Linked DNA regions of Anolis sagrei. Each later gene encodes a partner of the first gene's protein in a complex. Links are inferred from orthologs where the notes say so. Each region holds a gene or a part of one and is shown in the gene's direction. Other genes may lie near its edges.

The links.
Region 2: SMARCD3 (region 1) and PHF10 share a complex: the UniProt entries of both Homo sapiens proteins name them as parts of the neural progenitors-specific chromatin remodeling complex. The link is inferred for Anolis sagrei from reciprocal best matches to the Homo sapiens genes SMARCD3 and PHF10.
Region 3: SMARCD3 (region 1) and DPF3 share a complex: the UniProt entries of both Homo sapiens proteins name them as parts of the BAF complex. The link is inferred for Anolis sagrei from reciprocal best matches to the Homo sapiens genes SMARCD3 and DPF3.
Region 4: SMARCD3 (region 1) and ARID1B share a complex: the UniProt entries of both Homo sapiens proteins name them as parts of the neuron-specific chromatin remodeling complex. The link is inferred for Anolis sagrei from reciprocal best matches to the Homo sapiens genes SMARCD3 and ARID1B.

The regions. Positions count from the first base shown.
Region 1 is NC_090026.1:134,052,170-134,059,604, forward strand, and holds the start of SMARCD3 (SWI/SNF-related matrix-associated actin-dependent regulator of chromatin subfamily D member 3), read left to right. Parts: upstream 1-4,435; 5' UTR 4,436-4,495; coding exon 4,496-4,573; intron 4,574-7,435. UniProt on the Homo sapiens protein: Involved in transcriptional activation and repression of select genes by chromatin remodeling (alteration of DNA-nucleosome topology).
Region 2 is NC_090025.1:190,183,720-190,190,911, forward strand, and holds the start of PHF10 (PHD finger protein 10), read left to right. Parts: upstream 1-4,185; 5' UTR 4,186-4,269; coding exon 4,270-4,338; intron 4,339-7,192. UniProt on the Homo sapiens protein: Involved in transcription activity regulation by chromatin remodeling. Belongs to the neural progenitors-specific chromatin remodeling complex (npBAF complex) and is required for the proliferation of neural progenitors.
Region 3 is NC_090021.1:285,843,734-285,850,853, reverse strand, and holds the start of DPF3 (zinc finger protein DPF3), read left to right. Parts: upstream 1-4,116; 5' UTR 4,117-4,172; coding exon 4,173-4,204; intron 4,205-7,120. UniProt on the Homo sapiens protein: Belongs to the neuron-specific chromatin remodeling complex (nBAF complex).
Region 4 is NC_090021.1:69,803,427-69,811,072, reverse strand, and holds the start of ARID1B (AT-rich interactive domain-containing protein 1B), read left to right. Parts: upstream 1-4,635; 5' UTR 4,636-5,259; coding exon 5,260-6,843; intron 6,844-7,646. UniProt on the Homo sapiens protein: Involved in transcriptional activation and repression of select genes by chromatin remodeling (alteration of DNA-nucleosome topology).

The DNA.
Region 1 (7,435 bases):
AGAACAGGTAAAGGCAGGACAAGGATACCTGGCTAATCTCAATGAAACCTCTATCTCCAGGTGAGGTTGAACGCCATCCAAGAATATGGAAAGAACAGGCAGGAGTCATTTCAGGACTAGTGACCATCACCTTTGGGCATTCCCACAGGCTGGAGGAGGGCAGATGTGGCCCCCTCTTCAAAAGGGGCCCCCAAACAAGAACCGCCTAGTCAGCCTGGCATCAAGACCTACCAGGAAAGACTCTAGAACTATCTCTAAGCATTGCAAAGGGATGCCATGCGGACATTAGCACAGATTTCTCAAAAACAAGTCATGCTGGATGAATATCCTTTCTATATATATATATATATATATATAGAGAGAGAGAGAGAGAGAGAGAGAGAGAATGAATGAGTTGCTAGCTTGGTAGGCAAAGGGACTTACTGTGTCTTTCCACCTCTGCAGGGGAGGTGGGCCCACTAAAATGGTCTGCCCCAGGAGACTTATGGATCCAAATGGATTCCTGACGGCTTTTGGGGATTTTCCTGCCTCTTTGGTAAGTGACCCTATCAAGGCTCTAGTCTCTCTCTGGGACAGGGAGATGACCAGGGCAATAGACCCGATCGCTCCAAAATGCCCCCTCACCAATAACCAAGCTAAACCAGCTCCTTGGTTCACTGAGAAGCTGGCAGCGATGGAGTGAAAGAAGAGGAGGCTAGAGTGTGTGTGGCGGCGGAAGCATAGCAGATCAGCTCGAGCACGCCTGGGTTCCTTTTTAAGGACCTATGACGCGGCAGTAAAGGCTGCACAGAAAACATCTATCGTGGCCAATATTGCATCTGCTAAGAACCGTCCAGCTGAGCTGTTTTGAGTTGTCAGAGGACTATTAAATCCGCCTCAGAGTTTGATCCCCGACAACAAACATTTCTTGTGACCAATACTGTGTCCGCTAAGAACCATCCAGTGGAATTGTTCCAAGTTGTCAGAGAACTATTAAATCCACCTCAGAGCGAGATCCCTGACAACTTGGCAGATCGCTGTGAAGCATTTGCTCAGTTCTTTGCAGACAAAGTCACTCTGATCCATTCTGACTTCGATGCCACTTTAACGGCAGTCTCTGAAGATGTGACACGAGCACCTGCTTGTCCGGTTTTGATGGATTCTTTTCAATTGGTTCAGCTTGAGGACCTGGACAAGATCCTTGGAGTAGCGAAGCCTACCACATGCATCTGGGACCCCTGCCCATCCTGGCTGACAGAAGAGGCCAGAGGGGGTTTGGCAGAGTGGGTCAAGGTGGTGATTAATGCCTCCTTACAAGAGGGCAAGATTCTAGCCAGCATAAAAAAACAGGCTGTTATTAAACCACTGTTGAAAAAGCCATCACTGGACCCCACTCAATCGTCAACTTTCGGCCAGTTTCCAATCTTTCCTACTTGGGCAAAGTCATGGAACGTGTGGTGGCCTCGCTACTCCAGGGGTTCTTGGTAGGCACTTATTATCTAGATCCGGCACAGTCTGGCTTTAGGCCGGGACATGGGACTGAGACAGCCTTGGTCACTTTAGTAGATGATCTACGCCAGGAGCTCGACAGGGGGAGTGTGTCCCTGTTGGTTCTGCTGGACCTCTCAGCGGCCTTCGATACCATCGACCATGGTATCCTTTTGGGACGCCTCGTGGGAATGGGACTTGGAGGTACTACTCTGCAGTGGCTTCGGTCCTTCCTGGAGGGTCGGTCCCAGAAGGTGTTATTGGGTGACACCTGTTGGACTCCACAACTGTTGTCTTGTGGAGTCCCTCAGGGTTCAGTACTGTCCCCGATGTTCACCTACGTGAAGCCGCTGGGGGAGGTCATCCGGAGTTTCAGAGTAAGGTGTTATCTGTACGCAGATGACGTCCAACTCTGTCACTCCTTCCCACCTGTTACTATGAAGGCTGTCCAGACCTTGAACCGGTGGTTGGCCGCTGTGACGGTCTGGATGAGGGCTAACAAACTGAAAGTGAATCAAGGCAAGACAGAGGTCCTCCTGGTCAGTCGTAAGGCCATTGAACAGGGCATAGGGTTACAGCCTGTGCTAGGTGGGGTTACACCTGGTCAGTTTCGACTGACCAGGTTTGCAGCTTGGGAGTCCTCCTGGATTCATTGCTGAGCCTGGAACCCCAGGTCTCCGTGGTGGCCAGGAGAGCTTTGGCACAACTAAGACTTGTGCACCAGCTGCACCCATACCAACGTCCTCTGGGCAACGTCCTTGCAGGCAGCCAATTCTGTCACACCAGAAGCAACTTGCAGTTTCTCAAGTGGCTCCTGACAGAGAAAAGAAAAACCCGGCTGTTGGTCAAAGGGATCTCCTGAGAATCCTCCGTGGGGAAGGGGTCCAGTCCAGAAGGGGTCTGAGGAGAGCCCAAGCTGAGTGGGAGCCCCGAGTGTGACTCGGCGGCTGCCAAAGGAGCCCGAGCCCTTCTCCTGGGGTGCCCCCCCCCCCCCGTCCCCCGACTTCTCTCCTGCTTGGCTCCCTCCGGTCTCTCGCCTGGTCCCGCTCTGGGCAGCAACATCCTGGGAGACGGGCAGGGTGGAGGAGGTCCGGAGGGGGGGGGCCAAGAGGGACCACGCCGCCCCCCCTTCGGCCCCACCGACCCCGCTCTTCCCTTCGGGGCCGGGCCCGTCCTGCGGGGAAGGGGCTTCAGGCTTGGCTTCCGGCTTGGCTGCGGGACCCCCCCCCCCGTCTTGGAGCCCTATGCTGGGGGGGGGGGAGGCGGGAGGGGTATGTGAAGGTTCTTCCCTCCCTTCTCGTGGGAGGCGGCGCGTGTCCCGGAGCCTCCGTTTCCAAACACGGGAGAGCGGAAGCCCCTCCTCCGTCCCTCCCTCCCCCCTCCGTCCCTCCCGCCGTCCGCTTGACTGACCTTCACGGGAGAGACAAGAGAAGTCTCTGCGCATGCGCCCTCCCCTCCTTCCCTCCCTCAGAGGAGGTAGCTATTCGGGAGGGGGGCAAGGGGGTGGAGTCGGGCGAGGAGACAACCCCCCCCCGCGCCAAGGGGGCCGCGGAGGAGGGGTCTTTTCCCCAGGAGGGGGCCTTTCCCTCCTCCCCTCCCCTCCCCTCCCTGCTTCCTTCCCGCGCGAAGTCTCTCCGCAGCCCCCGCCCTCCAAAGGGGCGTACGCCCCTCCCTCTTTCCCTCCCTCCCTCCTTCTCGAGCCTCCCTTGGGTACCACGCCCCTCCCGTTACCTGGCAACGCCGCCTCTGTTGCCAGGGAGACCAGCGCCGGAGATGCCGGTCACCGCGGCGCCGGGAAGGACGGCAAGTGCGCCCCCCCCTCGTTGCGGCGGGAAGGGAAAGGGGGGGGGTAATCGGATCCCATGCCTTTCCTCTCGGGGTGGGGGGGAAGAGTCGGGTCTGGCTCCTCTGGAGGGAGGGAGAGAGGGAGGGGGCGTCGAGGGGTGGGGGCGGGGCTCTCGGGGGGGGGCTGACCCGGGAGAGGAGGCCGGAAGCGGCGGAGGAAGGGAGAGAGGGAGGGAGGGAGGGAGGGCGCGGCGTCCGAGGGGGGGGGGGGGGGAGAGAGAGAGAGAGAAGGGGAGGGGCGGGGAGGAGCCTTTGTGCGGCCGGGAGGGGAAGAGGCCCCTTCCTTCCTTCCTTCCTCCCTTCCTTCTTTCCTCCCCTCCTCTTCCCTCCCTCCCCCCCTTCCCGGTCCGGCTCGGGGTCTGAACTCGGGGGGTGTCCTCCCGAGGGTCCGCTCCTCCCCCTCCCCTTCCCTCCCTCTCCCCCTTTTCCCTTCCCCTCCCCCCCTCTCTCTCTCTGTGTGTCTGTCGGCGCCTGCTTCCTTCTTTCCTCCCCTCCCTCCCTTCCCGGTCCGGGGTCTGAGCGTGGGGGGGGGGGTGTCCTCCCGAGGGTCCGCCCCTCCCTCCCCTCCCTCTCCCCCTTTCCCTCCCCCTCCCCTCCTCTCTCTCTCTTTCTGTGTCTGTCGGCGCCTGCTTCCTTCTTTCCTCCCCTCCCTCCCTCCCTCCCTCCCCCCCTTCCCGGTCCGGGGTCTGAGCGTGGGGGGGGGGGTGTCCTCCCGAGGGTCCGCTCCTCCCCCTCCCCTCCCTCCCCCCTTCCCCTCCTCTCTCTCTCTCTCTCTCTCTCTGTCTTGGGCGGAGGAATTTGGGCCGCAGCTGGTGCCTCTGCTCCGCCGCCTGGGGCCGTCCCTCGCGGCGCCCCGTGCGGACCCCTCCCCTCTTTCCCTCCTTCCCTCCTCCCGCCCTCCCCCTCCTCCCCTCCGCCCTCCCCCTGGGCCTCTCTCTCTCTCTCTCTCGACCGGCGGAAGGCAGGAAGGCGGGAGAGGCCGGAGGAAGAAGGAGAAGGAGGCCGGGGCGGCGGCGGCGGGGAAGGGAAGGGAAGGGGAGGGGAGGCAAGGCGGGCGGAGAAAGCAGGCCCCTCCCTCTCTCCCTCCTTCCTTCCCTCCCGCCTTCCCTCGCCCCCCCCCCCCTATTCCCTGGTCGCCGCTCTCTCTCTCTCCTCTCCCGCCCCTCCTCGCCCAGCCGGACCCATGGCCGCGGAGGAAGTGACCGGCGGGGCGCGGAAGGCCACCAAGAGCAAACTTTTCGAGTTCCTGGTCCATGGGGTGGTGAGTGAGGGGGGGAGGGGGACAGGAGGGAGGGAAGGAGGGAGGGGAGAGGCTGGCCCGCCCCGCCCCCCCCCCCCCACACGTGCCTTGCCCCGAACAGGTGCCCCGCCGAGGGGGGTCGCCCCGTCCCCCTCCCCGCCTGGGAGATGCCTTTGCGGGGAGGAGGGGGGGGGCTTCAGATTCCTCTGGATCTTCGAGAGGGGGGGGGGGGCTTGGCCTCCTGGATAGAGCAGGGCAAAGTGTGTGAGGAGGGGGCTTCTCGGCAGCCGGCCCAGGAGGACCCTCGGAAACTTTTGCCTGGAGTCTGTTCACTGGGAAGAGGAAATGCCCGGCGCCCCCCCCCCCCCTCAGGTCTCCGCAGGTGCCCCTCCCTCCCTCCGTCCCAGAGCAGCTGCGGGGGCTTTTCTGGGCAGCTGTTTCTTTGGGATGCAGCCCAAGCCTGGGGGGTACAGCTGAGGGGTGGGGGCGTGGGAGTGTGTGTCTGTGGGGAACACAAGAGAAGCCAAGCTCAGTTTTGGGGATATGCAAGGGGGAGTCATGAGGACTCCAGGGGGGTACAGCTGAGGGGGGTAGGAGTGTGTGTCTGTGGGGAATCCAAGCTCAGTTTTGGGGACAGGCGGGGGGGGGGGGGTCATGAAGACCCCAGCCCCGCCCCCTTCTGTCAGGGAGAAGGCTCCTTCCACCCAACCCCCCCCCCCCTAGGGTTGCCCTCTTCTGGACCCCCCTCCTCCTCCTCCCACAGGTGAGGTCCAGTGAAGTAGCAAAGGGTCAGCCAGGCCCTTCAGGGGGCAGCAGGGCCAGTCCAGGAGGAGGTGGAGGAAGGGGGGGGGTCGGCAACTCCCAAAGAAGGGGCCCCTTCTCTCCTTTTGCTGTCCATGTGTCACTCAAGAGGGGGCTCCTTTGCTTGCAGGGTGGGGTGGGGGGCCATGGAGGGTACGGTCCAGCCTCCTTCAAGAGTTTGGCCAGAGCTGCAAGTCCCCCCAAAACATCTTCTGTGAAAAGATGGAAGTGTCCCTCTAAAATATGAATCTGGAGCAGAAGTGGAGGCTCCTCCTATGGAGGCTTTGAAACAGAGGCTGGGTGGCCATCTCTCGGGAGTGCTTTGAACGTGATTGTCCTGCTTCTTGGCAGAAGGGGGTTGGACTGGATGATGGCCCACCAGGTCTCTTCCAACTATGATTCTTGGGGCGGAAGCCCACTGGAGGCAGCGGCCAAGAAGGGCCACTTCTGCCAAGACTAGAGCAAGCAGGGCTTGGTCAACAGGTGACCTGGCAGTGTCCAGAGAGGTGGACGGTGGGCAGCCAAGGCCAGGTAGAGCACTGGAGACCTTCTGAATCGTGGGCCTGAGCTGCAGGCAGAAGGGATCTTGGTGTGCAAGGGGCTCTGCTGGGGGCATCTCTCTCTCACTGGGGCAGGCCCCACAGGTTCAGCCCCAGGGAGAGCTTAGAGAAGCATCAAATGGGGTGGGTGGGTGATGCAGCCCCTTCAAAACTGGGCCAGGAGGCACTGAGGCCAGAGAGGGCTGGAAGGACCCCTGAAGACCTGACGGGGCAGGTGGTGCCCCCTCCCTGCCTCTCAGAAGCAGCCCCATTGCAGAGAAGGAGGGGGGGGCAAAGAAGAGTGGGGCACAATGCCAGTGGGGACGGTCCAACTTTGACCACCTGCCTCTCTGGGGCTGTCCAGAGATCCCTGTTGAGACCTATTGTGGCCCCTGGGTCCCTCTCTCCTGGCTCCTCCTCTCTGGGGCCACACCAGTCGCCCCTCCTCAATGTGGAACCCTCCCTAGTCTGAGAGTGGAGGGGGGCATTATTTGGGGAGGGGAGGGGAGGCTCACCCGAGGTCCTCTTCCTTCTCTGGATCTCCTTTGGGGCCAAAGTGCTTGTGTCCAGTTTGGGCCAAGTGGCTCCTCTTTCTCTTTTGAGGGGAGGGAAATGGAGGCAAAATAGGAGCTCAGGTGACCCCCCCTCCCCCCCACACACACTCAAACACAATCTGCACCCCACTGAAGGCTCCTCTGTGGGGGCTGGGGCCATTCTGGGCCCCTCTTTCCCCTGTTGAGTGGTCCTTTTCAGGAAAAGTTCAACTTCCTTCTTTGGGGAGGGGGGAAATGCAGGTAGTCCCCAAGTTACAAACATTTCTGAGGGTTTGTTCTTAAGTTGAATTTGCTTGTCAGTCAGAACGGGGACATTTTAAAGTGTAATTCCAGTCACACATACACAAACACATATATATTATAGGAGCCCTCAGTGGTGCAGTGAGTTAGACCGCTGAGCTGCTGAACTTGCTGATCAAAAGGTTGGCAATTAGAATCCAGGGAGCAGGGGAAGCTTCCACTGTTAGCCCCAGCTTCTGCCAACCTAGCAGTGTGAAAACATGCAGATGTGAGTAGACCAATAGGTACCGCTCCTTCTGGCAGGAAGTAAACAGCTCCCCATGCAATCATGCCAGTGGCCACTTGACCTTGGAGGCGTCTGCGGACAATGCCGGCTCTTCTGCTTAGAAATGGAGATGAGTACCAGAGTCCCAGAGTTGGACACGTCAAGAGGAAACCTTTATCTAGATAGATAGTAAGCCTGGTCAATCCATGGTTCTAAATGGTTCTAAAGTACTTACAAAACTAAAGTTCTGGTGGTGAAAATTTCAGAACTCTAACAAAATTCTCAAAATTTCATTATAAATGGCAGTTCCTAGATGGTTCTATCCTAAAAATCACCAATAATGAAATAATAATTACATTTTGAAAGTTTTGTTAGAGTTCTGAAATTTTCACCACCAGAACTTTAAGTTTTGTAAGTACTTTAGAACCATTTAGAACCATAGATTGACCAGGCCTAATAGATAGATAGGTAGATAGATAGGTAG
Region 2 (7,192 bases), on another chromosome or scaffold:
ACCTTGTGCTGTTTTTTTTCTTACTTGGACTCTATGTCAGATGGCATACATTTTGATATTTTGTCATTACTGTGCCGATCCTTTGGGTGGGTTTCCTTTCAAATACATGTTCTGTGGGTACTTTGCCAGGATTTTTTCCTCCCTTGTACATAGTTATTCTCTTGTATAATGCAGTAATATCTGCAAAGAGTGGTACTTGTTGCTGAGCAACAGAAGGCAGCTTAAGACTTGTTCATAAAAAAGAAAAGAAAGCTTGGGCTGAAAAAAGCAATCACTATTTACAGCTTCATTGTCACAAAAAAGCCACATTCCTCCCAAAGAGTTTACCCACTTGTTGACATTCTTTTTCATAGCTTATTGAAACTATTTCGAAAGCTACAAACAAGGTTGATTGAAGATGACAACAGGGTAGAACAGGCATGGGCAAACTTCGGCCCTCCGGGTGTTTTGGACTTCAACTCCCACAATTCCTAACAGCCTATCGGCTGTTAGGAATTGTGGGAGTTGAAGTCCAAAACACCCGGAGGGCTGAAGTTTGCCGAATATTGAGCACACTAAATCCCCATTAAAACCAAGTACTCTTCAAAATGTGTATTGCAACTCATTCCCAAATAACCTTTGATGAAAAAAAACATTTTTTCTTTTTTTTAAATTAAAAAAATATCCCTCCTTTTCTAAGCAAATATTTTTCTATTAAGCGACCAGACTATTCATAGCAAAGCAACAGATGGTGAAATTCTAGCTTTTCGAAGACAGGCTTCTGTTTCCAGCTGTTTGGCCTCTTAGATGCCGATCTAAGCCAGCGCAGGGCTGCAATACTTCTCTAGGAAATAGCTCCATCATTTTAAGACGTTTTGTTAAAAATAGCAAAAAGGACGAATATTTTAATTTTCACAGTCTTCCATGACCCGCTGGACAATGGTTTCAATTACTCATTTTTAAGAAAAATAAAATAAAAATAGGAATACACAGATTCCTGTTTGGATGCATGTTATTACATCAGCTCTCGGCTTACCGCAGGCATGGGAAAACTTTGGCCCTCCAAATTGGACTTCAACTCCCACAAATCCTAACCTGGGATCAGATCCTGGGATATACTTAGGCGATCCCTCGTTGGCAGAGTAGGATAATCTTCCAGGATCAGTATTCTGGTGGGTCCGTAGGTGACTGTGGAGCCCTATTCTTGATCTGCATCTTCTCCCGCAGTGAGGGCATTGGTTTCCAGGTGGAAGGCGGTCTCTGTCGGGATTGACTTGACGCGCCTTCCTCTTGGCATGTTTCTCTCTTTCACCCTCCATTCGTGCCTCTTCAAATTCTGCAGCACTGCTGGTCACAGCTGACCTCCAGCTGGAGCACTCAAGGGCCAGGACTTCCCAGTTTTCAGTGTCTATGCCAGAGTTTTTAAGCTTGGCCAGATAGGCCCTATATCCTGGGATATAGGGCCTATCTGGAAGAGCCCTTAGATAGTGTTGTGTATGCCTGCTTGCAGCATGGAATTCGACTTCCTACTCTAAATTTCTTTCAGGCTGGCTGGGTTTATTTATTTATTTCATGTAAAAGCACTGCATAAATACCATGGTAAATAATGTACCATGCAGCTGTGGACAAGTCTACAGAGGGACCACCAAACGCAGCTTTGCCCAAACACGAATCAAGGAACATGAAAGGCGCTGCAGACTAATTCAACCAGAAAAGCCAGCCATAGGAGAGCACCCGATGAACCAACCTGGACACAGCCTATTATTTGAAAGCACAGAAATGTTGGACCACTCTCACAACCACCATGTCAGACAACACAGAGAATCCACTGAAATCCATAAGCATGTGGACAATTTCAACAGAAAGGAGGAAACCATGAAAATGAACAAAATCTAGCTACTAGTATTTTTAAAAATTCTAAAATCAGGACACTAAATAAAGAGCAACACTCAAAAATCAGGGGAATTCGAGAGAAGATACAATCATGGCCAGGTTACACCTCCCAACAAAGGACTCCCCAGGCAGCAATCACTCAGGCTTTGAAGCTGCAAGGCCATTAAATGCTAATCAAGGTGGCCAATTGCAACATTCACACTTTCCCCAAACAGACGAGAGTTCTTTTTCCCACCCTGGACATTCCAAAGATATATAAAACTCACCTGCCTAGTTTCCAGAAGACCCCTCAACATGTGAGGATGCCTGCCATAGATGTGTGTGAAATGTCAGGAGAGAATGCTTCTGGAACTTTGCCAGACAGCCTGGCAAACTCAGGGTAGCTTACAAGGATGTTATTGCGGGCAGCTACTTTGTGCTTGGTGTTTGCATAGCATTTCCTAAATATTAGTGTTCTGTCTAAGGCAGGGATCCTCAAACTAACAACCAGGGGCCGGATGTGGCCCCCCAAGGTCATTTACCCGGCCCTCGCTCAGTGTCAACATAAGTCTGAAATGACTTGAAAGCACAAAACAACAATCCTATCTCATCAGCCAAAAGCAGGCCCACACTTCCCATTCATATGCTAATAAGTTTATATTTGGGTTGTTGTAGGTTTTTTCGGGCTATATGGCCATGTTCTAGAGGCATTTCTCCTGACATTTCGCCTGCATCTATGGCAAGCATCCTCAGAGGTAGTGAGGTCTGTTGGAACTCGGAAAATTGGTTTATATATCTGTGGAATTACCAGGATAGGACAAAGGACTCTTGTCTGCTGGAGCTAAGTGTGAATGTTTCAACTGACCACCTTGATTAGCATTTGATTGCCTGGCAGTGCCTGGAGCAATCTTTTGTTGAGAGGTGATTAGATGTCCTTGTTTGTTTCCTCTCTGTTGTTGTGCTGTTCTAATTTTAGAGTTTTTTTTTTTAATACTGGTAGCCAGATTTTGTTCATTTCAATGGTTTCCTCCTTTCTGTTGAAATTGTCCACCTGCTAATCAAGGTGGTCAGTTGAAACATTCACACCTAGCTCCTGCAGGCAAGAGTCCTTTCTCCCACCCTGGTCATTCCACAGATATATAAACTCTTTTTCCTAGTTCCAACAGACCTCACTACCTCTGAGGATGCTTCCCATAGATGCAGGCGAAACGTCAGGAGAGAATGCCTCTAGAACATGGCCATATAGCCCGAAAAAACCCACAAGAACCTAACAAAATGAAGAACAATTTAAACAAATATAAACGTATTGTCGAAGGCTTTCATGGCCGGAATCACTGGGTTGTTGTAGGTTTTTTCGGGCTATACGGCCATGTTCTAGAGACATTTCTCCTGACGTTTTGCCTGCATCTATAGTAAGAATCCTCAGAGGTAGTGAGGTCTGTTGGAACTAGGAAAAAAGGTTTATATTTCTGTGGAATGACCAGGGTGGGACAAAGAACTCTTGCCTGCTGGAGCTAGGTGTGAATGTTTCAACTGACCACGTTGATTAGCATTTGATGGCCTGGCAGTGCCTGGGGGAATCTTTTGTTGAGAGGTGTTAAGATGTGCCTGAAAGAAACCCAGCCATCCTGAAAGAAATCTAGAGTAGGAAGTTGAATCCTATGCTGCAAGCAGGCATACACAACACTATCTAAGAGGGCTCTTCCAGATAGGTCCTATATCCCAGGATATAGGGCCTATCTGGCCAACCTTAAAAACTCTGGCATAGACACTGAAAACTGGGAAGCCCTGGCCCTTGAGTGCTCAAGCTGGAGGTCAGCTGTGACCAGCAGTGCTGCAGAATTTGAAGAGGCATGAATGGAGGGTGAAAGAGAGAAACGTGCCAAGAGGAAGGTGCGTCAAGCCAACCCTGACTGAGACGGCCTTTCACCTGGAAACCAATGCCCTTACTACAGGAGAAGATGCAGATCAAGAATAGGGCTCCACAGTCACCTAGGGACTGATCCTGGAAGACTATCCTACTTGGCCAACGAGGGATTGCCTAATGTAGACTTGTCTTCATTTTAATTATTGCATTCTTTTCATGTTTTTTTCCAATTATAATCTGGCCCTCCAACAGTTTGAGGGACTGTGACCTGGCCCTCTGTTTCAAAAGTTTGAAGATCCCTGGTCTAAGGCCTGCTGGGTGAAAACTTAAGTCTACAGGTGTAATCAATGCCTTGCGCATGCGCATATGGGTGTGCAGTAGAAGAAGGAGGCGCTCTGGGATGCGGCTGCAATACCACTGCTAGGGCGCAGGTGGCGCTGTCATGCAACGGCGTTCTGAGAGCCGGAAGCGGAAGTAGGGTCGCGTGAGGGAGAAAGGAGGAGGAAGAAGAGGCCGATGGTGGACCTTTCTCGCCGCGGCCGTCGGCGGTGATGGCGGCCGTTCTGTCCCCGCGGGTATGTGACAGCGACCCGGCCACGCCTGGAACCCAGTCCCTCAAGGTGAGAGCCGCTTTCCCCTCAAAGCCTCGCCGAGAAGCGCTGAGGGAGGCGTTTGCATCCTGTGAGGCCTGCTACGGCCGCCATCTTGGATCCCCTCCAAGGCAGGGAAAAAGCTTTTTCTCCTCAGGCCATTCTCATTAGATATTTTTAAGAATTAATATAGGAGTTGGCCATAACAAAACAACACCCTACAACAGGGAGAAATGCAAAATACTCCACTTAGGCAGAAAAAACCCAAACAACACTATAACAGGGACAAAGGCAAAACACTTTGGCAGAAAAAAATGAAATGCTAAAATACAGAATGGGGGACAATGAGGCCTGGCTCGAGAGCAGTACGTGTGAAAAAGATCTTGGAGTCCTCGTGGACAACAAGTTAAACATGAGCCAACAATGTGATGTGGCGGCAAAAAAAGCCAATGGGATTTTGGCCTGCATCAATAGGAGCATAGTGTCTAGATCTAGGGAAGTAGTGCTACCCCTCTATTCTGCTTTGGTTAGACCACATCTGGAATATTGTGTCCAATTCTGGGCACCACAATTCAAGAGAGATATTGACAAGCTGGAATGTGTCCAGAGGAGGGCGACTAAAATGATCAAGGGTCTGGAGAACAAGCCCTATGAGGAGCGGCTTAGGGAACTGGGCATGTTTAGCCTGAAGAAGAGAAGGCTGAGAGGAGATATGATAGCCATTTATAAATATGTGAGAGGAAGCCACAGGGAGGAGGGAGCAAGCTTGTTTTCTGCTTCCCTGGAGACTAGGACGCAATGGAACAATGGCTTCAAACTAGCCGTTCAGCAGTGGAACTCTCTGTCCCGGAGTGTGGGGGAGGCTCCTTCTTTGGAAGCTTTTAAGCAGAGGCTGGATGGCCATCTGTCAGGGGTGATTTGAATGCAATATTCCTGCTTCTTGGCAGAATGGGGTTGGACTGGATGGCCCATGAGGTCTCTTCCAACTCTTTGATTCTATGATTCTATGAGCCAACAATGTCATGTGGCGGCAAAAAAAGCCAGTGGGATTTTGGCCTGCATCAGTAGGAGCAAAGTGTCTAGATCTAGGGAAGTCATGCTCTCCATGCTAAAGCTTGAAATCATCATTTGCTGTTGAGCCATGATGTTGTTTTCATGATGTTGTCTGATTATGATGTTTTGTTGATTTTTGGTTGTTGATTGTTAAATGGACGAACCCAGAGGGTGCTCACCAATGCTTCCTCTTCAACTTGGAAAGAAGTGACGAGCAGCGTGCCGCAGGGTTCTGTCCTGGGCCCGGTCCTGTTCAACATCTTTATTAATTACTTAGATGAAGGGTTAGAAGGCAGGATCATCAAGTTTGCAGACGACACCAAATTGGGAGGGATAGCCAATACTCCAGAGGACAGGAGCAGGATTCAAAACGATCTTGACAGATTAGAGAGATGGGCCAAAACTAACAAAATGAAGTTCAACAGTGACAAATGCAAGATACTTCACTTTGGCAGGAAAAACGAAATGCAAAGATACAGAATGGGGGACAATGCCTGGCTCGAGAGCAGTACATGTGAAAAAAATCTTGGGCGTCCTCTTGGACAACAAGTTAAACATGAGCCAACAATGTGATGTGGCGGCAAAAAAAGCCAGTGGGATTTTGGCCTGCATCAATAGGAGCCTAGTGTCTAGATCTAGGGAAGTCATGCTCCCCATGCTCTATTCTGCTTTGGTTAGACCACACCTGGAATATTGTGTCCCATTCTGGGCACCACAATTCAACAGAGATATTGACAAGCTGGAATGTGTCCAGAGGAGGGTGACTAAAATGATCAAGGATTTGGAGAACAATCCCTATGAGGAGCGGCTTAAGGAGCTGGGTGAGCCAACACCCTGAGATATGGATGGAGGATGATGAGCAACAATTTTAGTGTGATGACTGACCATTATAGTTATTGAGTGTAATTGCTGTTTTAATATTTTACTGTAATATGTATTATGATGTTTTATTGATTGTATGTGATATTATGGTTGGAAACCGGTCTGAGTCCCTCAAGAGAGGTAAGAAGGCCGGTATAAAAAACTTTTAAATAAATAAATATTTAATAATAATAATAATAATTTAAAAAACTTTTATTTATACCCCGCTACCATCTCCCCAAGGGACTCATTGCGGCTTACATTTAGCCTGAAGAAGAGAAGGCTGAGAGGAGATATGATAGCCATGCATAAATATGTGAGAGGAAGCCAAAGGGAGGAGGGAGCAAGCTTGTTTTCTGCTTCCCTGGAGACTAGGACGCGGAACAATGGCTTCAAACTACAAGAGAGAAGATTCCATCTGAACACGAGGAAGAACTTCCTGACTGTGAGAGCCATTCAGCAGTGGAACTCTCTACCCCAGAGTGTGGTGGATAGTCCTTCTTTGGAAGCTTTTAAACAGAGGCTGGATGGCCATCTGTCAGGGGTGCTTTGAATGCAATATTCCTGCTTCTTGGCAGAATGGGGTTGGACTGAATGGCCCATGAGGTCTCTTCCAACTCTTTGATTCTATGATTCTAAGTTAAACATGAGCCAACAATGTGATGTGGTGGCAAAAAAAGCCAATGGGATTTTGGTCTACATCAATAGGAGCATAGTGTCTAGATCGAGGGAAGTAATGCTACCCATGCTCTATTCTGCCTTGGTTAGACCACACCTGGAATATTGTGTCCAATTCTGGGCACTACAATTGAAGGGAGATGTTGACAAGCTGGAATATGTCCAGAGGACGGCGACTAAAATGATCAAGGGTCTGGAGAATAAGCCCTATGAGGAGCGGCTTAAGGAGCTGGGTGAGCCAACACCCTGAGATATGGATGGAGGATGATGAGCAACGATTTTAGTGTGACGA
Region 3 (7,120 bases), on another chromosome or scaffold:
TCAGCAATGAGTTCAGGAGGATTCCCAAGCTGCGAACCTGCACCTTCAAAGGGGGTGTAACCAGGAGGACCTCTGTCTTGTCTGGATTCAACTTCAATTTGTTTGCCCTCATCCAGACTCTCACAGTGGCCAGACTTAAGCAGCTGAAGGGGGAAAGGAAAGGGCCTGAGGCTGATAGGAATTGAGGGAGTTGAAGTCCAAAACACCCAGAGAGAGGGCCCAAGTTTCCCCATGCCTGAGCTAACCTATGTTTGGGGATGAGGCCAGGATCTTGAGTAGCTCCTACTAAAAACCAGTGCAGATTTCTCATTTAGCTTGCCCCCTACTCCTTTCAAACACTTAGATGTGGCCTGTCTTAACCTTCTCCTCTCCAGGTTAAACATATCTGGCTCTCTGAGCCACTTTCTCACAGCGCTTGGCTTTGGTTGCCCTTCTCTGGACAGGTTCCAGCTTGTCAATATCCTTCTTGAACAGTGGTGCCCAGAACTGGACTGATGGGTTGACTTGGTATGCATGGAAGTTGTCCTTTGCCACTGTGGCAGGTGCCTACTCTTGACGCAGCCTTCCTGAATTCCACTTTATGCTTAAGTCAAATTGGTTGAGCAGTGTAACCTGTCCAAGTTGACTCAGACCTAAGTCCTATTGTGTCCCTTGGGGCTTATCCTGCCCTACCTTCACTGCAGTTAATGGTATGTGTCCTGATCATGTGCATCTACACGCTTAAGCGGCTGAGGGGGGAAAGGAAGGGGCCTGAGGCTGTTAGGAATGGTGGGAGTTGAAGTCCAAAACACTTGGAGGGAGGGCCAAAGCCTGCCCCTGCCTGGTGTCGAGGGAGAGTGACTCCAGCCTTCTTGTAAGCACATTAAAGCAATCCTTTTGTTTCTCCCTCTGGGTAATTCCTTTGCAGACTCCTGTAATTAGCGACAGGTAAACTCAGACGTCTTGGAGTGGGCTGCCTTTGCCAGGAGCTTTGCCAGAGCGGTGTCTGCGCTCCTTTGGCGGTGCAATTCCCCCTCTTAATGAGAAAGTTGGCAAAGCTCCTCCTCCTCCCTCCCTCCCCCCTCCCTGATGCCAGAGGTCAGGTCTCGACACGCCAAAGCAGACGATCCTGGGGGAGGAGGAAAAGACATCGTCTTTCATTTTTCCAAAAGTTCCTTGGGAGTGAAGCAAGCAGGCGGTCGGTTGGGCCACTTCGCGTTATGTAACGACGCGGAGAGGCATTCCTGGCCGGAGGGGGAGAGGAAGGGGAAGGGAAGGGAAGGGAAGGGAAGGAAAGGGTGCCCGTCCTGCGCCGGAGTCAATACGACCGTTGCAACGCTGCCAAGAAACCTGAAGCGGAAAGTGGTCGGAAGGGAAAAGCTGCGGGAAACGGAGGAGGAGGGAAAGGCGGAACTTTCTTGACTTTCTTTGCAGTGCCAGAAATGCACCCACATGGCTGGGAGGCGGTCTCTGCAAGAGCATGGTTTAGGCTGGATCTGCACTGCCATAGTTTGAACTGCAGTAAATACTGGAACCCTTGTGCCAGCAGGACTGAAGACCCACAGGTCGGAGGTTCGAATCCAGGGAGAGTGCGGATGAGCTCCCTCTGTCAGCTCTAGCTCTCCATGCGAGGACATGAGAGAAGCCTCCCACAAGGATGATAAACCATCAAAATATCTGGGCGCCCCCTGGGCAACGTCCTTGCCCACGGCCAATTCTCTCACACCAGAAGCGACTTGCAGTTTCTCAAGTCGCTCCTGACACACTCTCACTCACTCCGAGTAGGATAGTCTTCCAGGATCAGTGTACTGGCGGTGGGTCCTTAGGTGACTGTGGAGCCCTGTTCTTGACCTGCGTCTTCTCCTCAAGTGAGGGCATTGATTTCCAGGTGGAAAAAGGTCTTAGTCAGGATTGGCTTGATTGGCACGTTTCTCTCTTTCGCCTTCCATTCGTGCCTCTTCAAATTCTACAGCACTGCTGGTCACAGCTGACCTCCAACTGGAGCACTCAAGGGCCAGGACTTCCCAGTTCTCAGTGTATATGCCAAAGGCTTTGAGCCCATCTTTAAATCTCTTTTCCTGCCCACCAACATTCCATTTTACGTTCTTGAGTTCAGAGTAGAGCAACTGCTTTGGGAGACGGTGGTCGGGCATCCGGACAATGTGGCCGGTCCAGCGGAGTTGATGGCGGAGGACCATAGCTTCAGTGCTGGTGGTCTTTGCTTCTCCCAGCATGCTGGCATTTGTCTTCGCAAGAGATTTGCAGGATTTTCCGGAGGCAGCGCTGATGGAATCGTTCCAGGAGTTGCGTGTGACATCTGTAGACAGTCCACGTTTCACAGGCATATAGCAGGTTTGGAAGGACAATAGCTTTACAAACAGGCACCTTGTTTACAAACAGGCACCTTGTTATCCCTGCAGATGTCCCGACACACACACAACGGCAGTAAATGGTTGCATACTGACTATATAACACAGTTCAAACTGCATTATATGACAGAGGAGCAGGAGGAAGTGGTCCCAAACTCCTCCAGAGTTCTGAAGGCCCCCTTCCTCCACTGACATGTATTGTGGCCCATCTACAGAGATATTCTTGGAAGACCTCAGCAAGCGAGAGTCCAAAAGTGGCAGGCTAAAACCCAGCACCTCAATCCATGGCTGATACCAAATGAGAGATTCCTTCCTGGGCACACAGAAGACTGGGCAACTTGGAAGGCATTGAACACACTGTTGGGGATTGTGGGAGTTGAAGTCCAAAACTGCATTCATCCTTTGTGCACACGTGCATGTGTGTGTGAGGAACGACTTGAGAAACTGCAAGGCACTTCTAGTGTGAGAGAATTGGCCGTCTGCAAGGACGTTGCCCAGGTGTGTTACCATTCTGTGGGAGGCTTCCCTAGTTCCAGCATGGGAGGCTCTTGCACCAGGAGATGCAAAGCCAATCTTAAGAAATGGGCCCACAAAGTGGAGTCTAAGACATGGTAGTGTGGAGAAGAGCAAACCACAGACCACCTATTACAATGCAACCTGAGCCCTGCCACATGCACAATGGAGGACCTTCTTGCAGCAACACCAGAGGCACTCCAAGTGGCCAGCTACTGGTTAAAGGACATTTAATAGAAGGCCAAGTTTTTAAACTTTGTGTTTTCTCAAATACATCAGAACTATACCCTTGGTTCGCTCTCTGATACGATAGATCAATAAATAAATGGGAAGCTGGAGCTGACAGATGGGAGCTCACCTTGGTCTCCCGGAATCAAAGCTGCTGATCTTTTGGGCAGCAGTCCAGACGGCACATGAGTTTAATAGAATGCCAAGTTTTAAAACTTTGTTTTCTCAAATACATCACAACTGTACCCTTGGTTCGCTCCTGATACAATAAATAAATAAATAAATAAATGGTAAGCTGGAGCTGACAGACGGGAGCTCATCTTGCTCCCTGGATTCAAAACTGCTGATCTTTTGGTCAGCAGCCGTGCAGGCACATGAGTTTAATAGAACGCCAAGTTTTTTAAACTTTGTGTTTTCTCAAATACATTACAACTGTACCCTTGGTTCACTGCTGATACGATAAATAAATAAATGGGAAGCTGGAGCTGACAGATGGGAGCTCACCTTGGTCTCCCAGAATTAAAACTGCCGATCTTTTGGTCAGCAGTCTATATGGCATGTGAGTTTAATAGAATGCCAAGTTTTTAAACTTTGTGTTTTCTCAAATACATCCCAACTGTACCTTTGGTCCGCTGACACAATAAATAAATAAATGGGAAGCTGGAGCTGACAGACGGGAGCTCAGCCTGCTCCCCGGATTCAAAACTGCCGATCTTTTGGTCAGCAGTCCAGACGGCACATGACTTTATTAGAATGCCAAGTTTTTAAACTTTGTGTTTTCCCAAATATCCTTGGTTCGCTCCTGATACGATAAATAAGTAAGTCCAGAGCGTGGCTCTGTGTCTCTCTCCCCTTTTCCCCGTGCCGCTGGCCCTTTAAGACCTGCTCTCCGAACACTTGCACAGAAAGGGAGTGACCTCTGGGCTTTGACAGCTCCCCTAATAACCAGCCCGAGCCCTGGCCCCGCCCACCGCGCTCCGATTGGTCGCCGGGCCGGTATCCTCTCTCCCCATTGGGCGCCCGGTTCCCCTGAGCGAACCTTTTAGAACTCCGAGGCACAATATTCTGTTACATTGTAGCAAAATGGCGACTGTCATTCACAACCCCCTGAAAGCGTAAGTAGGAATCAAAAATGTACATATTTCCGCGTGGTTTCGATATGAAAAAAGGGCGCCTTTCCCTATGCAGGCGGCCAAGGCAGGAGCGGGCTGCCGGCAAGGCTCCCTCGCTCCCGGGGTTGGTGTGGCTTGCCTTATTTGTGTGTCACACGCACAAAAGTCTCCCTCCGCGGGGGAATTTCATGGGAAGGAACCAATTGTCACCGGGGCGTCCTGCCTGATTGATTGATGGGCGGCTGGCCGGGGACGGAGAGAGTTTTGGGGGCTCTTTAAAGGCGAAGCCACGGCTTCCGTGGCAGCTCCGGGTGGTCGGAGTCGGGGAAGGAAGGAAGGAAAAGGGAAGGGAAAGGAAGGGAAAGAAGGATCGATGCCGGGCAGGATTGGGCTGGATCTAGATCTCCCTTTCTATCCAGGGCGGCTTGTGCAGCAGTTGGGGAGTTCTTTCTTTTGTATGCCTGTCTTCGTGCATTTGTGTGCCTTCTGTGCGCGACATTTCCAAGCCCGGGGAGGAAGGAAAGAGAGTCGGGGGCTTGCCTCCCTTTCCCAGCCTTTCCTGCGCCTGTTTGCCCGGAGGGACTGCGCCGCGGACCTTTTCCTTGGCAGGTCAAGCCTTGGGAGCTCTGCGTAGATATATAGATCTAGATACACGGATGTATTGATACGAAACCCTGAGGCAAAGAGACGGCCGGACTTCCTGCGCTTGGATGGGAAGTAGCCTCCCGAGAATATATAGAAATATTCGGGAGAGAAAGAGAGAGAGACCTGGGGAGGTGAAAATATATTTCTCTCCAACTCTCTGTATATATATCAAGCATGGTCGAACTTGGGATCTCCAGGTGTTTTGGACTCGAACTCCCATCATCCCTCCCAGCCACAGGTCCCTTCCTTTTCTCCCTCAGCCGCTTAAGCGAACTTGGACCCTCCAGGTGTTTTGGACTCCAACTCCCACAATCCCCAACAGACACAGGCCCCTTCCTTTTCTCCCTCAGGAAAAGGAAGGGACCTGAGGTTGTTGGGGATTGTGGGAGTTGGAGTCCAAAACAGGAAGGGGTCTGAGGCTGTTGGGGATTGTGGGAGTTGCAGTCCAAAACATCTCAGACCCTCTTCTTTTCTCAGGAAGGGGCCTGAGGTTGTTGGGGATTGTGGAGTTGGAGTCCAAAACAGGAAGGAGTTTGAGTTTGTTGGGATTGTGGGAGTTGGAATCCTAAACAGGAAGGGGTTTGAGTTTGTTGGGGATTGTGGGAGTTGGAGTCCAGTGCTGCTTCTCCTCTATTATCGCTGGCCTCTGACAGGAAGGGGTTTGAGGCTGTTGGAGATTGTGGGAGTTGGAGTCCAAAACACCTGGAGGGCCCAAGTTCGCCCATGCCTGTTCTGTATGCATGTATCAGCTCTCTCTATTTTTTCGTGTCAGGAGTGACTTGAGAAATTGAATTGGGCGTCTGCAAGGATATTGCCCAGGGGATGTTTTACCATCCTTGTGGGAGGCTTCTCTCATGTCCCCGGCATGGGGAGCTGGAGCTGACAGAGGGAGCTCATCCTCTCTCTCTCCCCGAATTCGAACCTTCGACCTGTCGGTTTAAGCCATGCCTACCTATCGAGAGATAGTTGGAGCGTGAAAGAGGGAATCCTCGGAGAGCTGGAAGACTCTCCTCGCTTCCCATTCCGGAAGCCCGTTGGCGCTCCTCTTTGGCTCCGGGTCCACGGTTCCTTCCCCTCCATCTGCCTCTTCTCCTCCCTTCCCTCCCTCGCTCCAATCTTTCCCAAAGTAGAAAGGCTTGGGGGAGGTGTGCGTGTGCGTGTGTAGATCTCGGCGTGAGGGACTCGAGGCTCCGGCGTTGTGCTGTGTGTGTGTGTGTGTTTGTTGTGTATGTGTCTCTTTCTCTCCCCGGGGGCGGGCAGGAGGCGTCCCGACAGGTGCAGCCGGCTCCGGGAAGCAGTCGGAAGGAAGGCGCTGTGAAGATTGAGGGAGGGAGGCTTTCCTGGCCGGGTTGGGGAGGAGGGGGGTAGTTCTTTCGGGCTGGAAGACACTCACACGTTTGCTCGCACAGACACGCAACCAGCCGGCTAATCCCCGAAGGCATTAAGAAGGGAAGGGAAGGGGGGGGGGAGGGGTTTGGCCGCAGGTCTGGAGGCGCCCACTCGGCTTCCGCCCTCCCCCCTCCCGCCCCTTGACCTTTAGAGCCTCACGTTTGGCGCCGGAGGAAAGGAAAAGGCTGGCTTTCCGAGGGGGAGGGGGCACTTCCCCGCTCCTTTTAAAAGCCAAGGGACTGTCTGCAGCCACTTCCTTCCCCTTTGAGCTGCGCTTCCCGCCCTTGGCCAGCAACTCGGGGCTGACTTTGGGGCCCTCCAGACGGCAGAGGGTCTTGGCAAGCGGCTCCTGGTGTGAGAGAATTGGTCGTCTGCAAGGACGTTCCCCAGGGAACGCCTGGATGTTTGACTATCCAGTGGGAGGCTTCTCTTATGTGTTCAGATGAGAAGCTGGAGCTGACAGAGGGAGCTCACCCTGCTCCCGGATTCGAACCGCAGCAGTCCTGTCAGCAAGAGCCAGCGTTTTTCATAGACGCCCCCTAGGTCACGTGTCCAACATGATTGAATGGAGTGTCATTACCTTCCCGCCGAAGCGGTACCTATTGAGCTACTGTCATTTGCATGCTTTAGAACTGCTAGATTGGCAGAAGCTGGGGCTAACAGTAGGAGCTCACTCTCTGGATTCAAACAGCAAGTTCAGCAGCTCAGTGGTTTAACCTGCTGCGCCACCAGGGGCCTATACATAAATAAAAATAAATAATTGGGGGAAGGGGAGGTTCCGGGGGGTCCACCCCAAGGCTCTTTTCAGTGGGAGGGGAGCCCACGCGAGGTGGAGAAAGCCAACTTCCAGGCGGATGGCGAGGGGAACGCCTAAGCACCCCCCTT
Region 4 (7,646 bases), on another chromosome or scaffold:
CAACTACTTTATGATAAAAGTATCATTTACCTACTTCTAACATATGCTTGAATGTACTATAAATATTGTGTTGGATTATTTTACTTCCTAGTTTATTTAATAGATTGTGGTATTAGTATGACGCCTGTATCCATAATGAATATGCTCCTGGACTTCATCTGGATACATGAAACAGTGGGAAGATAGCAAATCTCATTTAAATTAAGGACTTCCCATCCAAGAATATAATACTAATGAAACTTTATATCTCACCGCATCTCTCAGTATGGAACTCAGAGCAGCTGAGAACATAAAAGGCAAATATTCAATGCCAACAAGTACATACATACAGACATAATTTAATGAATAGCATTATAGGGTATAGGGTTACAGCCTGTGCTTGATGAGGTTACACTCCCGAAGGCACAGGTTTCCAGTTTGGGAGTGATCCTGGACTCATTGCTGAGCCTGGAACCCCAGGTTTCAGCGGTGGCCAGGGGAGCTTTCACACAATTAAAACTTGTGCGCCTACTGCGCCCATATCTTGGGAGGTCAGACTTGATCACGGTGGTCCACGCTTCGGTTACATCCCAAATAGACTACTGCAATGCACTGTACGTGGGGTTGACTCTGAAGACTGTTTGGAAGCTTCAGTTAGTCTATCACTTGGAACCCAAGTTGCTCATGGGATGGGGTACCGAGAGCTCACATGCCCTTGCTACGCCAGCTCCACTGGCTGCCTATTAGCTTCTGAGCACAAAAGTGCTGGCTTTGGCCTATAAAGCCCTTAACGGTTCTGGCCCAGTTTACCTGTCCGAACGTATCTCCTGCTACGAGTCATCTAGGACCTTAAGATAGTCAGGGCAGGCCCTGCTCTGTCCCCCCACCATCACAATCACACTTGGTGGGGACGAGAGACAGGGCCTTCTCCATGGTGGTCCCTTGGGTAAGGAATTTCCTCCCAAACGAAATCAGATCTGCTCCATCTCTCCTGTCCTTCTGAAAAAAAGTGAAATCCTGGCTGTGGGATCGGGCCTTTGCTGACTAGACTGACTGGCGAAGTTATGGTTTTAATGGACTATGATGGACTGTTTTTAGGATTATCACTGAATTCGTTATTGTACTTAATATTTTTATATTGTTTTTATACTGTTTTATTATATTATGTATATTTATGCTTTTCTTGAAGGAGCTGGGAGTGGTGACAACCGACAGGGAGCTCTGGCGTGGGCTGGTCCATGAAGGCACGAAGAGTCGGAAACAACTGAACGAATGAATAACAAATGCTTTTCTTATTGTGGGCACTATGCTGTGCCGGTTGTTACCTGCCCTGAGTCCCTCTGTGGAGGTGAGATAGGAAGGGATATAAATGCCCTAAAACAAACAAACAAATAAATAAAATACCTAACCACGATGACATGCTGGAGGACCAAGAAAATGGCTAGAAAGGACATATGGTATTTTGTTAAATGTGGATAAATTAAACAGCAGATATTAGTCCCACACATATGGGGGTTCTACTGTATTCTTAGTCTCTCTTACACACATACACACAATTTTTATAAAAATATTTGCACGTGGGGAAATAGCAGAGACTATGATACTGCAGTTATTAAAATGCATCCTCACATACTCTTTAAAGCAATGCTGCTAACATGAAATGGACAATAATATTTCTGAGGGTAAAGTTCCAGATGAACATTGTTTTCAAGGGATGCCAGTTAATGAGGGCTTTTTAGTCAAATAGCTGTCTTGTTTTTAAATCAATGTATCAGTTAATTAATGGACTAAACCTTTGAGTACATCAACATAGTTGATATTTGAGAGTTTGTGTAGTTTATCTTCATCAAATGGTACATTTCACAAGTCTGATTCTGTGCGAATTCCATTTGTGTGGTTAGTGCATGGTGTGCTACTTGGGTAGAACAATTTGATGGAATAGCCTGTTAGTCTTCCAAATAAACATTTTAGGACTGATTCAATCATTTTAACAGAACTTACACTTAATAAGAGTAGTGGTGGGGTACGTAGTTAATGTGCAAAGGGTTTAGAGTTCAGTCTGTAACATTTCTAGACAGAGGTCAGAAAGAACTGAGAGAATTGCTGTCAGTCAGCATTGGCCACCTTGATTAGCACTGAATGGGCTTGCAGCTTCAAAGCCTGGCTGGTTGCTGCCTGGGGGAATTCTTTGTTGAGACGTTAGCTGGCCCCAATGGTTTCCTGTATGGAATTCCCTCACAACCTCTGAGGATGCCTGCCACAGATGTGAGCCAAACATCAGGAGAGAATGCTTCTGGAACATGGCCATACAGCCCGGAAAACTCACAGCAACGCAGTGATTCTGGCCATGAAAGCCTTTGACAACACATGTGTGGAAAGTTTGTATCATAAATCTGTGCTTTTGGTATGAAATACGTAGATTCTTATGCAGCACACTTTTCTTTTAATGTTTAATATGTTTTCTTTGTGCTTGAAAGATATTAATTTAAACACATTAAAAGATCCTGATATTTTATGGGTGAGCAGATGGCAACTAGTAGATGGCATATGTTCTGTATCTGAAAAAACTAAAGCTGATAGGGGAGAACGGGTGCCATTTTTGGAACCAGCAGGTGAAATACACCCAGAAACAGGACTAACATTGGAGATACTAAAATGTGTGTTGGGCACTGTCATCTTTTGCTTATGAGTTTTTCTAATCTTATGTATTTTAATATATGTGTGTTTTGCTGGTCTTTTTAATCTATGCCTTTTAACCGTGTGGTATCCTGCACATAATGAGAATAAAGGTATTTTTCTCACGTCCACCTAAATGGCTTCAAAGTATGGTTTCTTTAAAATGTGATCGTGTGATTGATGCAGAGGACCCTTTCAGGCCATTCCAAAAACTAACACTGATAGGTCAGTTTAGTGTATTGGTGCTTTGGAAGTGTGTGAAAAGGAGCTCAATGGACACAAATGGTCGAGGTGTAATATTGAGAAGGAATAAAAAGAAAGTGACACACAATACAAAACAGTTGTAAAGCCTGTGTTGCTGAAGGCTTTTTGTCACTGGGTTGCTGTGAGTTTTCTGGGCAGTATGGCCATGTCCCAGAAGCATTCTCTCCTGATATTTCACCTACATCTGTGGCAGGCATTCTCAGAGGTTGTGAGGTCTGCTGGAAACTAGGAAAATGGGGTTTATATATCTGTGGAATGCCCGGGGGGGGGGGGGGGGAGAACTCTTGTCTGTTTAAGGCAAGTGTGAATGTTGCAATTGGCCTTCTCGATTAGCATGTAATAGCTTTGCAGCTTCAAAGCCTAGCTGCTTCCTGCCTGGTGGAATCCTTTGTTGGGAGGTGATTAGCTGGTCCTGATTGTTTCCTATCTGTTTTCAGAGAGTTGCACTTTATTTACTGTCTTTATTTTGAGTTTTTAAAATACTGGTAGCCAGACTTTGTTCATAGTTACCTCTTTTTTGTTAAAATTGTCCACATGCTTGTGGATTTCAATGGCTTCTCTGTGTAGTCTGACATGGGACTTTTCCATGCAGCCCTATATCCCAGAATATCAAGACAAAAAATCCCACAGTATCTGCTTTGAGCTGGAATAGATGGCAGTGCAGACTCAGATTACCCAGTTAAAAGCAGATATTGTGTGATTTTCTGTCTTGATATTCTGGGATATAGGGCTGTGTGGAAGGTCCCCAAGTCCACACTGCCATATATTCTGATCCAAAGCAGATAATGTGGAATTTTATTCATCTATGTCAGGAGTCCCCAAACTAAGGCCCAAGGGCTGGATATGGCCCTCCAAGGTTATTTACCCGGCCCTCGATCAGGGTCAACCTAACTCTGAAATGACTTGAAAGCACACAACAATCCTATCTCATCAGCCAAAAGCAGACCCACACTTCCCATTGAAATACTCATAAGTTTATATTTGTTAAACTTGTTCTTCATTTTAGTTAAGGTAAAGGTAAAGGTTTTGCCCTGACATTAAGTCCAGTCGTGTCTGACTCTGGGGTGTGGTGCTCATCTCCATTTCTAAGCCGAAGAGCCGGCGTTGTCCATAGACACCTCCAAGGTCATGTGGCCAGCATGACTGCAAGGAGCGCCGTTACCTTCCTGCCAGAGTGGTACATATTGATCTACTCACATTTGCATGTTTTCAAACTGCTAGGTTGGCAGAAGCTGGGGCTGACGGGTGTGGTGCTCATCTCTATTTCTAAGCCGAAGAGCCGGCGTTGTCCATAGACACCTCCAAGGTCATGTGGCTGGCATGACTGCATGGAGCGCCGTTACCTTCCCACTGGTGCGGTACCTAATGAACCACTCACATTTGCCTGTTTTCAAACTGCTAGTTGTCAGATGCTGGGGCTGACAGCAGAAGCTCACTCCGCTCCCCGGATTTGAACCTGTGACCTTTCAATCAACAAGCTCAGCAGCTCAGTGCTTTAACCCACTGCGCCATTTTAATTATTGCATTGTTTTTAAGTGTTTTTTGCACTACAAATAAGATATATGCAGTGTGCATAGGAATTCTTCTTTTTTTTCATATTATAATCCGGCCCTCCAACAGTTTGCGGGACTGACCTGGCCCTCTGTTTAAAAAGGGGACCCTTCCCTGTTCTATGTGGAAGGGTCTAAAAGCCTCATGTTTCCTCGTTTCTGCCGAGCTCAGCGCTAGAGGCCAGGCGGGCTTTCCCTTCCTCTCCTCCTCCTCCTCCGCAGAATCCGGGATCGGAATCCACTCCGCGTTTTCCATGCGGCCCAGTCTCTCAGCAGAAGTGGATCGTAGTGGTTGGAGCTCCTTTTCTCTCTCTCTCTCTCTGTCCTTCCTGCCATGCACGCTGGGCCAGATCGGCGCAGCCAGACGTGTATTTAGTTATATTTACCCATATCCGGGTTCAAAGCGGGGAAAGAAAGACAGAAAGAGAAAGAAAGAGAGAGAGAGAGAAAGGAAGGAAGGAGAGAGAAAGGAAGAAAAGAGAGAGAAAGAAAGGAAAAGTTTTATTGACTCCCCCTCAAAACCCCCTCCCAAAATAACTTTCCTCGTGAGAGCCCACCACGGGCGTCCTTAATTAAGCAAGGACTCAGCCAAGGAGGGGAGTTGAACTCAATATGGAATAACCAATCTATTATTTTGGGTTTTTTTTGGGTGGGTTGGCAAACAATCCGGCGTCCCACTTATTGTGGGGTTTGTGTTTCCCTCTCCTCTTGGGGTTTCCCCCTTTTTCTTTCTTTTTTGCGTCCTTATTTATGACTATTTCCTCCCGGAGTGAGCCATGTTGCCTTGATCATGGCCGCGCAAGTGGCGGCGAGGGAGAACAACCGAGGCAGCAAGAGCCCCTCTTTGCCGGGAAACAACACCAGCAGCAGCAACAGCAGCAGCTTAAGCCAGGACTCTCTGGGCGCAGATGGGACGAACAGCAACAACAAGAGCGGAGGCTTAAACAACGTGGAGCTCCACCAGCACCACCACCACCTCCTCCACCGCCGCCTCCACCATCATGAGCTGAGCGCGGCCAATAATGCAACTCCTTCTCCTCCTTCGAATCACAACGCAAGCAACATCATCGGCGGTGGCGGCTCTTCTCCCTCGGAGGCGCTTCTCAAAGAGTCTCCCGGCTTGTTCGCGGCGATGGAGGCCGGCCTGGCGCCCAACCACAAGCTGAAAGGCGTCGGGGGCGACCACCTCCACGCTCACGCGGCCTCGCTGCCCTTCCAGCTCCGGCAGGCCTTGCACAGGAGCCCCTTCCAACCGCAGCAGCAGCAGCAGCAGCAACAGAGTCACAACAGCAACGGCGGAGGCGCTGCTCAGCCTGGCAGCGCAGACATGGAGCCGCCTCAAGAGCAGCAACATGGAGGCCACGAAGGCGCTTTGGGGGCCCCCAACCAGGCCGGGGCGGCCACGGGGAAGGCGGCGAGGGCCTTGAAGAAAGGAGGGGAGGAAGCAGACGCGGAGAAAATGGGACCAGGAGGAGGAGGAGGAGGAAGTAGTAGTAGTGGTGGCAATAGTGGAGGCCCCTCCGCCGCCTCGGAGTTTAATAGCTATTACAGCGGGAGCAACAACAACAACGGCAACAGCGCCTCCTCTTCTTCCTCCTCCTCCTCTTCCTCCTCCTCCTCCGCCAGCCGGGCCGGGCCTTGCTTTGATCAACATGGCGGACAACAAAGCCCCGGGATGGGGCTAATGCTCCCCGCGGCAACGGCAACGGCGGCAGCAGGAGTAACAGGGGGGCCTCTCAGCATGGAGCCCGCGCCCCACTCCCACGACGCCTTCGCCCACGGGCACTACAACCACTACGCCTACGGGAGGCCTGGAGCTGGAGCAGGAGGAAGCGGAGGAGGAGGAGGAAGCAGCTATGGGAACAGCCCGTCCTCGGCCTTCGGGGTGCTGGGCTCCCCCAGGCAGCTCCCTCCGCAGGGCATGATGCTGGGCCCAAGCGGAGGAGGAGGAGGAGGAGGCGGCAGTAAGGGCTTCCAGCGCTTCCCGGGCCCGGCGCAGCAGCAGCAGCAGCAGCACCCCTCGGGAGCCACGCCGACCTTGAACCAGCTCCTGACTTCGCCCAGCCCCATGATGCGGAGCTACGGGGGCAGCAGCGGGTACCCCGAGTACGGGCACCCGGCCCCGGCGGCCCCGCAGCCCCAGCCCCCCTCCACCCAAGCCGCCGCCGCCGCCGCCTCTTCTTCCGCCTCTTCTTCTTCTTCCTCCTCCTCCTCGGCGGGGCTGGCGGGCAAGGACGGGGGCCCGTTCGGGGCCAGCAGCGCCAACGCCAGCCCGGCCTGGCCCCCCGCCGCCGCGCCACAGCGGGGACACCCGGCCATGAGCCCCGGGGCCAGCACCGCCGCCGCCGCCGCACAGGCCCTCGGCAGGAGCCAGGTAAGCATTCCCCGCCGCCTCTCCCTCCTTCCTTCTTCCCCTTTTGACTTTCCACGCCTGGCTTAGCGAGGGACACTGTCTCAGCCTCTTTCAGGCCACAGAGAGCTGGGCTGGGCTGGCTCCCTTCGTGGAAAACAAGAGCTTTTTGTGTGAGGCAAGACTTGCACCACCTCTCCACCCAGACACACGCTCAGGGCCCTGTGGAAACACAGCCCCATATCCCAGAATATCGAGGCAGAAAGTCCCACATTATTTCCACAGCCCCACAGCTTTGTGTGTGGCAACCCTTGCACCATATACCTACGCAGACCCACACTCAGGGCCCTTCCACGCTGCCCTATATCCCAGAATATCAAGGCAGAAAGTCCCACATTATTTCCACAGCCCCACAGCTTTGTGTGTGTAGCAGCCCATGCGCCACATACCCACCTAGACCCACACTCTGGATCCTTCCACACAGCCCTATATCCCAGAATATTGAGGCAGAAAGTCCCATATCATTTCCACAGCCCCACAGCTTTGTGTGTGTGGCAACCCTTGCACCACATACCTACCCAGACTCACACTTGGGGTCTTTCCACAGCCCCACAGCTTTGTGTGTGTGGCAACCCTTGCACCATATACCTACCCAGACTCACACTCTGGGCCCTTCCACGCTGCCCTATATCCTAGAATACCAAGGCAGAAAGTCCCACATTATTTCCACAGCCCCACAGCTTTGGGTGTGTAGCAGCCCATGCGCCACATACCTACCTAGACCCACACTCTGGATCCTTCCACACAGCCCTATATCCCAGAATATC